3 linked regions of the Tribolium castaneum genome follow. The protein of the gene in region 3 purifies or fractionates together with the protein of the main gene of each other region. This does not show direct contact. Links are inferred from orthologs where the notes say so. Each region holds a gene or a part of one and is shown on either strand. Other genes may lie near its edges.

The links. The genes of interacting proteins can lie anywhere in the genome.
Region 1: the proteins of ValRS (region 3) and probable elongation factor 1-delta purify together in Homo sapiens (affinity purification with mass spectrometry; 5 studies listed by BioGRID and IntAct, counting the BioPlex papers as one, with this or other methods). This does not show direct contact. The link is inferred for Tribolium castaneum from reciprocal best matches to the Homo sapiens genes VARS1 and EEF1D.
Region 2: the proteins of ValRS (region 3) and eEF1gamma purify together in Homo sapiens (affinity purification with mass spectrometry; 6 studies listed by BioGRID and IntAct, counting the BioPlex papers as one, with this or other methods). This does not show direct contact. The link is inferred for Tribolium castaneum from reciprocal best matches to the Homo sapiens genes VARS1 and EEF1G.

Annotation. Positions count from the first base shown.
Region 1 is NC_087403.1:8,552,804-8,556,926, forward strand, and holds the start of probable elongation factor 1-delta, read right to left. Parts: upstream 2,801-4,123; 5' UTR 2,644-2,800; intron 2,529-2,643; exon of another isoform or gene 2,523-2,528; 5' UTR 2,518-2,522; coding exon 2,431-2,517; intron 2,219-2,430; coding exon 2,141-2,218; intron 2,052-2,140; coding exon 1,973-2,051; intron 1,927-1,972; coding exon 1,705-1,926; intron 1-1,704. Other genes in the region: uncharacterized protein CycE, read right to left, coding at 3,367-3,606, 3,658-3,875.
Region 2 is NC_087402.1:7,326,700-7,330,840, forward strand, and holds eEF1gamma (elongation factor 1-gamma), read right to left. Parts: upstream 2,801-4,141; 5' UTR 2,652-2,800; coding exon 2,640-2,651; intron 2,522-2,639; coding exon 2,372-2,521; intron 2,317-2,371; coding exon 2,101-2,316; intron 1,903-2,100; coding exon 1,608-1,902; intron 1,193-1,607; coding exon 1,145-1,192; intron 1,093-1,144; coding exon 632-1,092; intron 585-631; coding exon 429-584; 3' UTR 308-428; downstream 1-307. Other genes in the region: cnir (protein cornichon homolog 4), read left to right, coding at 1-160, 211-277; putative lipid scramblase CLPTM1, read left to right, coding at 4,027-4,110. UniProt on the Homo sapiens protein: Probably plays a role in anchoring the complex to other cellular components.
Region 3 is NC_087394.1:5,060,686-5,064,702, reverse strand, and holds the start of ValRS (valine--tRNA ligase), read right to left. Parts: upstream 2,838-4,017; 5' UTR 2,596-2,837; coding exon 2,443-2,595; intron 2,391-2,442; coding exon 2,217-2,390; intron 1,956-2,216; coding exon 1,828-1,955; intron 1,774-1,827; coding exon 1,609-1,773; intron 1-1,608. Other genes in the region: uncharacterized protein LOC103313614, read right to left, coding at 3,958-4,017. UniProt on the Homo sapiens protein: Catalyzes the attachment of valine to tRNA(Val).

The DNA of each region.
Region 1 (4,123 bases), on a different chromosome or scaffold from region 3:
TTCTTAACATACATCATCCCCTAGAAATTAACCATCCTTAATTAGAAATTTTAAATGAAACCCCCTGCTTTTTGAAGCTACCCCTAACTAAAAAAAGTCAACAAATATTAGTTTTCTCCACGCTTAACTTTATTGCCTCCCATCCAAAAATGTTTCAAAAAGTAGAGAGAGCTATTTAAAATGTTAAAGAAATGTAGGTTTTTAAACTCTACCCTCGCAGACTAAAATATTGTTTGTCTTAATTAAATAGGCTTAAGATCTAGTAGAATAGCAAAACAAATTATTATAAAGGTCATCTATGACTGTTAGACGCGATGTGTCGTTGAATCAAAATTTTGAATGCTGGCAAACAAAAGCAAAAGCGCTTCAAACTTAGAAACTACAGAACATACACAAGAAAATACAAAAACGTAAAACACAAATAAAGACAAACGATACAATTGAAACAACATTGCCTAAAAAAAATGAAAAAACAACTAATTAACAGATCTTACAGAGATGACAGTAAGTACTCAGAAACTACAGCAGTCATTTGAACGAAGCGGTATTGAATTTAGATTCCATAGTCGACTTATTGATGAAGAAGCAGATTTGCACACTCTAGATTATCAAGTAATTAAACACCAAATTATGGAAACTCAAAAAAGCACACAGCCGAATTGCTGCACAAAATACAGGGTAAAATATAAAAATATATTTTTGAAAAAATATTCTTTGTCACTTTTGATCGTTGTTAGAGTCTTTGTCACACCTCCTTTTTGTCGTATTTTTTTAAATCGTTTAACAACACTGAAATCTTCACAAACGTCATCAGCACTGCTTTACAGTATCTATACAGCGTGTTAAGAAATGGTTTAGCAAAAATTTGAAGGTAGATAAAGAATGGCAAAACAAATCGATTAGGTATATTCCCAAAAAATCATTCTGAAGCTAAATTCCTAAATTTTGAGAATCGCTGAACTGGAATTATAAAAATTAGTGTATATTTTAAAATTATTGACAAAACGGCAGAGGTGAATTTACTTTTTGGTCCACTCTGTAATTCTTCTATTTCAACTAGTAAATTTAACCGTCAAAACCCTTAGCCGATGAAACCAATTTCAATAAAGATGATATTTAATTCGCATTGCTAAATAATTTATTCTCCCTATGGAGAATAAAACACAAACACAATTACCGAAGTGACAAACTGTAAACAAATATCTGCTAAAATTTGCAAATAAAACATAGTTTTGTTTTTAACTGGAGCCATCTTTTCTTATTTTTATTTTAAGCAATTGGATTCAAATTGAAAAGTAAAATTATGTCGTTTGAGGTCGGAGTACCTACCGATCCCAAACCGAGGTTTATTGCCATGACATTTTCAAATCACCCTACTGTACTTAATATTGACGAATGTAAAATTTTGAATAAATTTTGAACATAATAAACCAGATATCTATCTATCTATCTATATTCTTGAAATTCGAAGTTGCAATCATATTATGATAGAACCGAAAAACGTTCTTATAAAAACGGCTTACGATCAATGTTTTCCTACACTGTTAATAGATGTAATACATCTGTTAACATTTAACTGATAAATCAGTCACTGTTAGTCAAATAAAAAAAAGTTAAAAATGCAAAAACCATACAGCTGGTTTTGCATCTACACGACTCAAATATGAACCAATTTGTCAATAGTGAAATTGTTATTGCGTTTACTTTTAGACTTTTTCGCGTTGTAAGCAGCCAGACGCTCCTCCCTCAGCTTGGCGGCGGCTTCGTTCTCCTCCTCGGATTCGGAGCCGAACAGATCGACGTCGTCGTCGTCGTCAGCGGCGGGTTTCGGGGCTGGTGCAGGTTTGGGAGCGGAATTGACGCTTTTCTCGACTTTGGAAAGACGCAATTCTAGCTGTTTTATGCTCTCCACCATCGCGTTAATAGCTGTGGAATAATTATTAATTTGGGTTTGAGTGGTTATAAAGCGTACTTTTCTCAAATTCGACGGCCTTTTTCTCGAAGAATTTGATCGCGCCGTGATCAGTGGATTGGGTCTCGGACGCAGGGGCCTGTAATTTTGAGCCGTAAGACAATTGGTCATTGAAAGATTGATGGGTTAGTATGGGATGCAAATGGGTTAAGTCAAGCCTTTACTCACATCTTTAAAAGAATCCCTACTTTGAATAAGAAGTTGTCGCGCCTTGGCAACTTCGCCCGCCAAAGGAGTTACGGACGCCTACACCAAACAGAACACCATTATGTTAATACCAGTACGTCTCGTACTCGAAAATAAACACCCAATTAGTAGGACAAGTGTCACCTAGACAAGAACAATACTTTTGCCGATTTTCCATATGAATTTTGTTAGATTTTGAAGAAATGGAAGCGAATTGAATACTACTCTAAACGGTTTTATTTTTGCACGGTTTCACTGTTCTAGCCACTTACCTTTGCCAAGTTCTCGTAATACTTTGTCTCTGCGTCCTCGTAAATTGATTTGGTGAGCCAAATATTCTCGTATTGCATGTACTCCATTGCGGCTAAAAGTATTTCAGGTTAGAACACACGTGTCGTAATTTTGAAACAAACACAGTCAAGACTATCAAATAACTACTAACAAATTCAATCTTGACTTTGGCTAACTACGCCTACAAAAATTACCTAGAATTTTTGCTGTTTTTTAATAGATTTCTTGTACTCTGTTATATGGGGAGACAGCTGTTCTCGAAAAGGTTATGTCGACAGGGTCGCCAACACAAAAAATAAAATCCCCAGACCCGGGAACACATTTGATTCAAATATGTTTAAATATTTCCAAGTGTTTCGATTAAAACCTAAACTCAAGGACTTATCTCTAAAAGAATACCAGATGTCATTTTTTGCAAAATTTTTATTTGGGCAAGCAGCCATTCCCCAAACTCAAGTAGTACCAAAACAGTTTATTTCAAATTCCAAATATACAAAAATATGTATAAAATACAGTCTTTTTAAGTGACTACAAGACTCTAAATTACGATTAAAATAATCCAAAACAATTTGCTTGACTAAAACTGGAACGACACCAAACGCTATAAAAGTTACATCATAGATCTCGCGTCACGCTAAAACAATTAAGTTAAAATCGAATATATTACAATTGACTAATTTATGCTAATAAATATGATTTGTCTATGACTAAAATTGAAGTGAAATGTTTAGCAAAAATTTACAAAGGTTACAACGCTTCTTTACAAATAGATCTCAATATTTAAAACTATTGATCACAGTTTAGAAAAGGCACTAGTGTAGTGAGATAAATAATACGAACGAGGAAACTAACACTTAAGAACAAGTCATAAAATACACATCTTAACTAGTTACGAACAATAGTAACAACATAAACCCCTAACTAGAATCCTTACTCCCTTCTTGGCCTAAAATAAGCTCAAAAATTTCGTCCAAAGTCATCAAATTGTGGTCAACAGTAGTAGCGCTGGCATCCTCTTTTGCCAGCTCCGTTAAATTCTCAAGTTCTTCAGTCAAATCAACCGTTTCATTGTTTTCCTCTGTTGCAGGAACACTTGTGGTATCTTCATTAGCAGTAGAAGGCCGTAATTTATTCAATCTGTAGATTGTTGCTGTCTCCTAAACAGATTTGTTTAGAAAAACACAAAAACAAAGTCAAACAATACTAACAAAGTACTCCATGCTGGCAATGTGGGTTTGAAACGAGTAATTTTCACTTTGGGGTCCCGATTGCACCCGGCGGAGAAGCCCGGCCGAAAGTCGGCTCATTTCCTCGGGATGAGGGCCACCGAGACAGGAGTACAGACGCGGATCGGGGGCGTCTTTAATAATTATGTAGAACACCTCCATGTAGTCGACGCAAGGCTCCAGTTGCGACCAATCGAAACCTATAAATTGTTATTAACTTTTTGATAATCTTACTTCTGCTTAAGTTTGAACTTTTCTCTTTAATTTTTTCATCGAAAAAATTTGATTTCAAAAACTAAGCACAGAAATTTACATCAACATAATTAGCATTAAAAGCTCCAAAAATGTAAAATAAACAGTAGTGATTCATAAAAAAAACTCATTTCTGAAACACCATTTGTACTTAAAAATGATTTTGTTATGCAGGAGGTTGACCGATATCGATTTT
Region 2 (4,141 bases), on a different chromosome or scaffold from region 3:
CATTTTGGATGGTGTATGAGTTAGTATCAGTGCCAAGTGGAAATTTGGGGATCTATGACCCCACAGAGATTCACAATAGAGGTCAATTAAAGAAGCATATGAGGGACTGTATGATTTATTTAGGATATTATTTACTGTTCTTTTTTGCGTATCTGTACTGGTGAGTTGTGTCTATTTATATCAAACATTGCGCAACTTGTTTATTTTTAGCATGATTGTGGCTTTGTTGAAAGGTGATCCCCTCAACAGAGACGATCAGTTTGAAGCCGACTTATAGTGTAATAGGTTTATTCAAATAAAACATAAATTATCCTCAAAGCGTTTTATTGAAAGAAAAACAGTTAGGGTTAAACAACTGACAAACGATGGATTTAAATTAAATTATCAAAAGGACATGGTTGTAAAAAAAATATATTACACCTCAGGTTTTACTTAAAGATTTTGCCCTGGTTAAACTTCCTTCCCTTTTTGTCAGTGCCAGTCCATGAGAAGTATTGGGCAACTAATTTTTTAGTCTCTTCTGATTTTGCATCCAATTTCTTCCAATCATACGACTCGTAGTCGATTTGCCAGTCAGGACTCAACTACAAAACTCAATCAAACCAATTTTAAAAACACAGAATCAACGTACAGTGAATGCGAGGTCGTGGCCCCTCCACACCCAAATCCCGGAGATTGAACTGTTATTGTCCTCACCAAAAAGACAAACTGAGGCAAAGGCTTGTTTGCGCATTTTATCCAATCTCTGATACATTCCGGTGATCAAATTGCAGCTCATAAAAATCTTAGTGAGCTCTTCAGGGTACTTATATTCCCCGTACCAAATAGTGTAGTTTTCAGGATCGAACTTCTCCCAGAAATACGGAATTGATTTGGCTTCATCTTCGTTAGAATAAAATCTCTTGAAATCGTCCATATTGAACGTCCCTTTGGGCATGGATTCAAAGGGGTCCTTCGATTTGGGCTCGGCAGCGAGCGCTGCTTCAGCCGCATCCATTTCTTCAACGGGCTCTTTCTCCTTTTTTGGTGTTTCCTTTTTAGGCTGCTGCTGCTGCTTCTTCTCTTTTTTCTCCTCTTTCTTTTTGTTCTTACCTGTTGGTGGAAAAGCAACTAAGCAAGACGAATAAAACCACACTTAACTTACTCTTCTTTTTATTATTTTTCTCCGCAACAATACTGTTAGTATTAGCAGCTTGTAAAATTATTTTTGGGTTAAGGGATTTAACACAGGTTGCAATAAACTGAACAGTACTTAATCCATTATGTGCAGCATATGGACACTAGGATGCAACACATTTATTGCGATAATTGCTTTGAACACCGTCGCATATTTATCAAAATACTAGAAATACTGTTGAAGACAAAAAAAGTCTAGGAATATAAAAAAAGTCCCCGGACTTTTTGCACTTTCCAAACTCGTTAGGTAAACAACTATTACACACTAACGTTAGGAAACAGAAATCGAGTTAGTACCGACGTTTGCTTCCTAGTATTTAACTCTCCATAGTACGGTATACATTATAAACAAGACCATTTACTCATAGAATTTTATGCAGCAAAAGAATTAAATACTGATCATTTGAACCGTTAAAAAAACTTTGGCTTACCTTCACCTCCCTGCGCGCCGGTGAAAGGTTGTGCAACTTTGTCCAAAAATTGCACCTGGCCCAAAACGGCCTTAAACTGAGGTTGGTTGATTAAAGTTGTGAACCATCTGTTAACGTTGACGAATGGTTTTCTAAAGTCGGGATCGAACGCATATTTGTATAAATTTGAAAGATTGCAAGCTACAACAATATCAGCTAAAGTGATACGTTCCCCAACTAGATAAGTACGGGTAAGCAAATGGCTGTCTAGGATTGCCAGAGCAGCCCTCATGTCCTCCTTGGCTCTTGCATATCCCTAGAATCACGAAAACTGGGTCAGTCTAGTGACAAAACTGGGCGAAAATCACTTGTTACAATAATATAACTTAACTGAGCGCCACCGAGACACTCAGTAATGGGTAATTGTCTTAATATACCTCCTTGAGTTACAAATCAACCAACCGGATTGGTTAATTTGCCTTTGAAGGAGGACGCGAGAAAATACGTAATTTACCTCCTCAGTGGCGGCGTTCTTCTTGACAACCCCCAAAATGGGGAACACCCAGGCACAGCCAGCTGGGAGTATCTCCGACTCTCCAAAGCCCACCCATTGCAAAATCTGGGCTTTCTCGTACTCCGACTTGCCTCTCAATTGTTCATTGGCGACGTAGTAAGCAATTGCGTTGCTGTCTTGCAGATACTTGCCATCGTTTGACTCGAAAGCTGGCACCTATACAACTGTCCAGTGTGACTTAACCTCAATTTTGAAGCGCGTCCAGACTCACCTTTCCACTGGGAAATTTCTTTAAGAATTCTTTCGACTTGTTGGTTTCACCGAACACAAAGTTTGGGCTTACTTTAACATTGCTTTTGGAGTACTGGGCAGCGATTAAAGCCTTAGCAGCACGGAAATTGTCGGGATAGGTGTACAGTGTCTGAAAAAATAAACACAAAACTGTCAAAGATAATGCCGGATTTGGGTTATTCAACGGTTTTCTGCCGATGATTGTGTCATAAATGCGAGATATTTGAGGAAATTTCGATAATACTTACTCCTGCAGCCATTGCTCGTCCAATTTCTCACAGAAAAGGACTTGAAGAGTTTGACAGCTGCATAGGGAATTTTGGGCTTGCGGTCTGGTGACGTGTCGGGCTTAGGCCTTTTTTTTTCGATTTTTACAGCCTCGAAATGCCCGCTTTTGTGCAAAAAACAACACTAAATTGCACACATCTTCCAGGAATTATACAAATTATTTTTTTTCTTTAAAAAGGCCCACTAAAAATAACAGAACCGTACTTAGACTTTCTGCCCTAAAGGATTAAATGCCTATTTTCTAGTAGGCTTTATAAGGTACTTTTTATCTTGTATGAAAACCAAGAAAACGCTGATTATAATAATTAATTAAGCTGAAGAACTAAATGCACCTGTCTATCAATTATATACACATTATATACAAAAAAAACGTCTATTCTAATTATAAATTCCGATGATCGCGTGGTATCTTTGTTCCTTGAATAAATAAAAAATACTTGATAATTCCACATAGTAACGTATTTAGGTGCATTGCCGCCTCGGGGTACTTAACTTTGGGCTTTTCTGCCTATGACATAGTCTTTAAAAAAGAAAAAAACATTTATTAGTTAATTCAGAAAAGAAGAAAAAAAATATAAATATTTAAAAATAAACACTTTTTATTAACAGAGAGACATTTTTTGCCATACTTTGGAAAGTTTTAAAAAACTAAAGCCAAAATATAGTACTTTTTACTCTGTTTTTACAGCCTGTTCAATTATCTAAAAAAAATTTGGTGTCGTTTTTTTTGAATTACTAAAAAAATAACACAAAAATTTCTAATTTTTGTTTTTTTTTTTTTACAAGCAAATACCAAAGAAAAAGTAGAACATTCTTCAGGCAATTTTTACAAAAAAATCTAAATCCTTCGTCATTTTTTCCAAGGCGTTCTTGATTACAGAGTTGCAACACTCAACTTTGGGTATTCTTATGAATGCCACATTTGCATTTCGTATTTGTTATAAGTGTTTTTACTTCTGATGACAACGATGTATCATCACGTGATATGATTGAATCTTACATGCAAGAAATCATTTTTGCGAAGAGTGCTTTGGAAAATGTCAAGTCGAATTTTTCTTCTGTGTTTGTTTTATTGAATAAACACTATTATTTTTTTATTTTATTTGTAACTTTGGTTGTGCGATTAATTTATGTTTTTGGTGATTGTTAGATGAACAGAGATTAAGGATATTTTGTATAAAAGTTGCCTGAGCCCGGCCCTGTCCGCTGTTCGCGTTGGCTACCCTGCCCTAACCACGACTCATTACCGATACCAACCTCATAAAATTCAAAACGAAAAGTCATTTCGTTCATGTGATGTGGTCAATGATTAATTAAATTTCAAAAGAATTGAGAAATTGACACGAAATGGCTGATCCCCAAGCCGAGAATAATCCGTCAGCCAACGGCCAAGTGGCCAAACCGGACGAAACCCAACCGACCCAAAATGCAGTAAGCAAATCAATAAAATCGCACAAATCCT
Region 3 (4,017 bases):
AAGCCAAATCACTTGAGAATATACAAAAAAATAAACTAATTTTTAAAAACATTCTTAAGTTAAAAAAGTAAAATTTCAGTAAACTTAAGAAAAAATTAATAAACTTCGTCAAAAATTAACCGACTTACCATTAAAAATGGTTTTCTCGGCCTTTCTCGATGTCTTTAGCATATTTTTAAGCGAAAATCTTTGTTTTTTCGCATGATTGATCAGAAAATTAGGTCAAAAATAATATTTTTCGAAGTTATTTCGAACAACTTCCTTAAAAATAAGCCACAAAAGCGCCAAATTGTGTTGAAAATTGTGTTATATTTACCTTTTCGGTACACTTAACAAGTTTAAAGTAAAAAGTGAAATTTCAGTAAATCTGACCAAAAAATCAATAAATTAAGTAAAAAATAAGAAAATGCTTCCTTCCTTCGAGCGTTTTAACGATTATTTCAAGCAATTTCGTCAAAAATAAGCCAAGAATTCAGATATTCTTCGTACTGTTTTTATGTCCATTGTACAATATTGTCATTTGGTAATTTTTCGACCTATTACAGTGAAAAAATTTTTTTGGTCAAAAAAATCGAAAAAGTAGTAAATTAGGGACACCATTTTCAATTTACAATCAATTTTTTCTGGCTTGCTGAACAGGAATTTTCCAAAAACATGCGTTTCTGGTTGAACAAGGTGTAAAAACACTTAAAAATGTCAAAAATTATGCCGGAAAAAATACCAAACCATTATTTTCCATTTTACTGAGCATTTAAGTACATTTTTAAAATAAAAATACAGTTTTTTCACGAAGTTTTATTAACCTGAGTTGAGATATCACCAAAATCAAAATAGGACATCTGACCAGAATTATTCCAAAAATCACTAATTTTGTGTTTTTGTAAGTTTTTTACATAGATTTTCAACGATTCCTCGCTTAAAAACAAGCCAAATCACTTGAGAATACTCAAAAAAATAAACTAATTTTGTAGAAGAAAACTAAAAATTTTATAGGGATAATGAACAAAAAACAGAAAAAAAACATTTTTAAAAACTAAACGAAGACTTCTTTTACAAATTATAGAAATCTCACCTTTTCTGAAAAAAAATTTTTGAAACAAATAATATAAGAGCATATCTATAACGTCAATTTTGATGTAATTTGGTGTTTCTTGTAAAAAAAATACGTATTTACCTCAAAAACATTGGAAAAAAGGGGAAATTTACTATTTTCATCTTTCTTTCGAAAAAACTTTGATTTTAGCGCAATAATGAGCTTGAAAGTACTTGGCATAAAAACTTGCACAGATGCTCGAAAATTATCGACATTTCGACGATTTTTGTCTGAATCCAATGATTTTTAGCTGTTTTTACGTTTATTATGATTTTTTCAGGCAATAGAGCCTCGAAAAAACAAGGCAACGATTACACCAAATATTTAACCTCCTTGTTTCACCGAAACTTCTGACTGAAAAATATGCTAAAGCACGAAAGTACATTCTCGAACTGATTTTGCAATTCTTTGAAGCCTAGTAAAAATATTGGTTAAATAATCTCCAAGTTGAAAAATCTTACAATTTTAGTTTAATTCAAAGGAAAATGTTCTCGAAAAGTAGGAAAATTACTTACTCCTCCTTCCATTCCCAAACTTTGCTAATAAACCCTTCACGTCCAATATCATGTCGTGTTTTTTTCTCGTTTCGCCATAATTTTTTTTCTACTACCACTTGAGTAGCAATTCCGGCATGATCACAGCCAGGGTTCCACAAAGTTGTCTCACCTCTCATTCTATGCCTAATTTAAAAAAAAAACGATTAATTTTTCATTTTAGTTTTAGTGAGATATTACCATCGAACAATGGAATCTTGAATCGCATTGGTCAAAGCATGACCTAAATGGAGCGATCCGGTGACGTTTGGAGGTGGAATTACAATTACAAATTTGCCTCTAGGGTTGGGTTCAGCGATTGACTTTCTCTGTAATTATATTGAGTTCTAGATATCAAAAATGATGACTAACGAAATTATTCTATCAGTCCTTGAATCACGAAAAAATTGAGTAACAATGAGTTACATACATATTTTTTTCCCGAAACATTTCAAACAAGTCTGAAAAATGTTATTCTATGTCTAATTAATTTTGCTGTATTTTTCCAACAGTGTTGCAAACTGCCAAGAAACCAATGCTACCAACCCAAACATTCATTCTTGATCACTCCGTATCTTAATTATAATTACCCCATATTCCGGCTTGAAAAAGCCCTGTTTCTCCCACCAGGAGTACCACGCCGCCTCGACAAACTGGGGGCTATAAGCATCGGGCAAAGCCCCACTGATATCCTTCTTGTCACCCTCTGGTGTCGCTATATTATAAACAGCAGCCTCCTTCACCTCCTTCTTCTTCTCTTTCTTCTGCAAAAAAACCCTCGCGTCACCGCACATATGTTGCATCATTCACCCTTACCTCAGCCTCCTTCTTCGGTGCCGCGTTTTGCTGCTTCTCCAACTTTTGCTTCAACTTGTCCAACTTTGCCTGTTTTTTGGCCTCTTTCTCCAACTGCTTGGCTGTTTTCGGGGGGGCCAAAGCCCCATTTTGGAGCACTGCTTCGTCACACATCGTCCACGGTTTCGTGAACACAGAGCACGTTGTGAAATTGTAATTTGACAGGCAAGTGACGTCAAAAGCCAACCTGCGATAACCTCAAATTTGCCAACTGGTGATTTTTAGAAAAATGGTTTTTGGAGGCACGACCCAACGTTTTGAGTTAATCAAATGGGAGGTTTATTAAATTAATAATACCCATGAACCAAAATTGACCCAAATCACACCACACCAACAAAATAAGATTCAATTTTGGAAATGTATGGTTGGTTGCCTGCTTTAAAGAGTTAAATAAAAAACTGAAAAAAAGGAAAAAAATTGTTAATGATTAAAGGAGCAACTTTTACACTACACAGACTGAGTTTTCACCCCACTTTACCCCGAAATCAGTTTTGTCACACAATGACCTTTTAGCCATTGAATTTTGCTGAATTGAAAAATCTTGTTAAATTTAAATTTCATTATATTCATTCACATTTTTACATAAAATTTTATCATTGTCATCATCATTTATCATTAAAAAAATGATATTAAAGAAACAAACTTTACTGCGTCCAGAAATGTATTATCCCAATTTTTATCCCATTTCACTCATAAACAGGTTTTATCACACAATGCCCTTTTGGACGTTGATACAGCAATAAAAAAGACACTTATTACAAAAAATTGCATAACAAAACTGTTGTCGGAACAATGTTAAAAAAAAATAAAATTTTCTAGCTCCAAAAATACAATATCCCATTTCATCCCAAAATAGGTTTTGTCACACAATGCCCTTTTGGCCATTGATACAGCAATAAAAAAGACACTTATAACAAAAATTTGCATAACAAAATTGTTGTCAAAACAATGATAAAAAATTTTTTTATCCCAATTGTGGAAAAAATTATTTAATGACAAACTATACAAAAAATTCTGAAAATAAAAATCTATTGAAGAAATAAAAATGCTAATTGAATGAAAATATATTGAAAATGCAGAGGTGCCTGATTTTAGTACTAATATGTATGTCCGTACAGTTTGGTCATTTTCTAGGTTGAGAAGAATTCTTACAGAAAACAGCAAATTTAGAACAATATTTAGATTTAACAGTTAATTAATTTTTTTGTCTAACAGACAATTTTAAGTTTTTGACGTGTTTGTTTTTGTGGTGAAATTTATTGCAATAAAAATTGTTTTTATTTTTCCTGTAACAGTAATTTTGACACGTAAAAATCCGGTCTCTAGTTATAACTCTATACTAGTGTCAAGGTTTTGACAAAACCCTCGGTTCTTGTAAAAAAATATTTTATTTAACTCAATACTATTACAATAGCTATGTAAGATAAAAGTATATAACAAGAAAGGCAACCTTATAAAGAATTGTAAAAACCTGTTTTATAAAAAATTACTACTTAAAGACTGCAGCCATGAACTCGGGGAGTATAATTTTCTCGT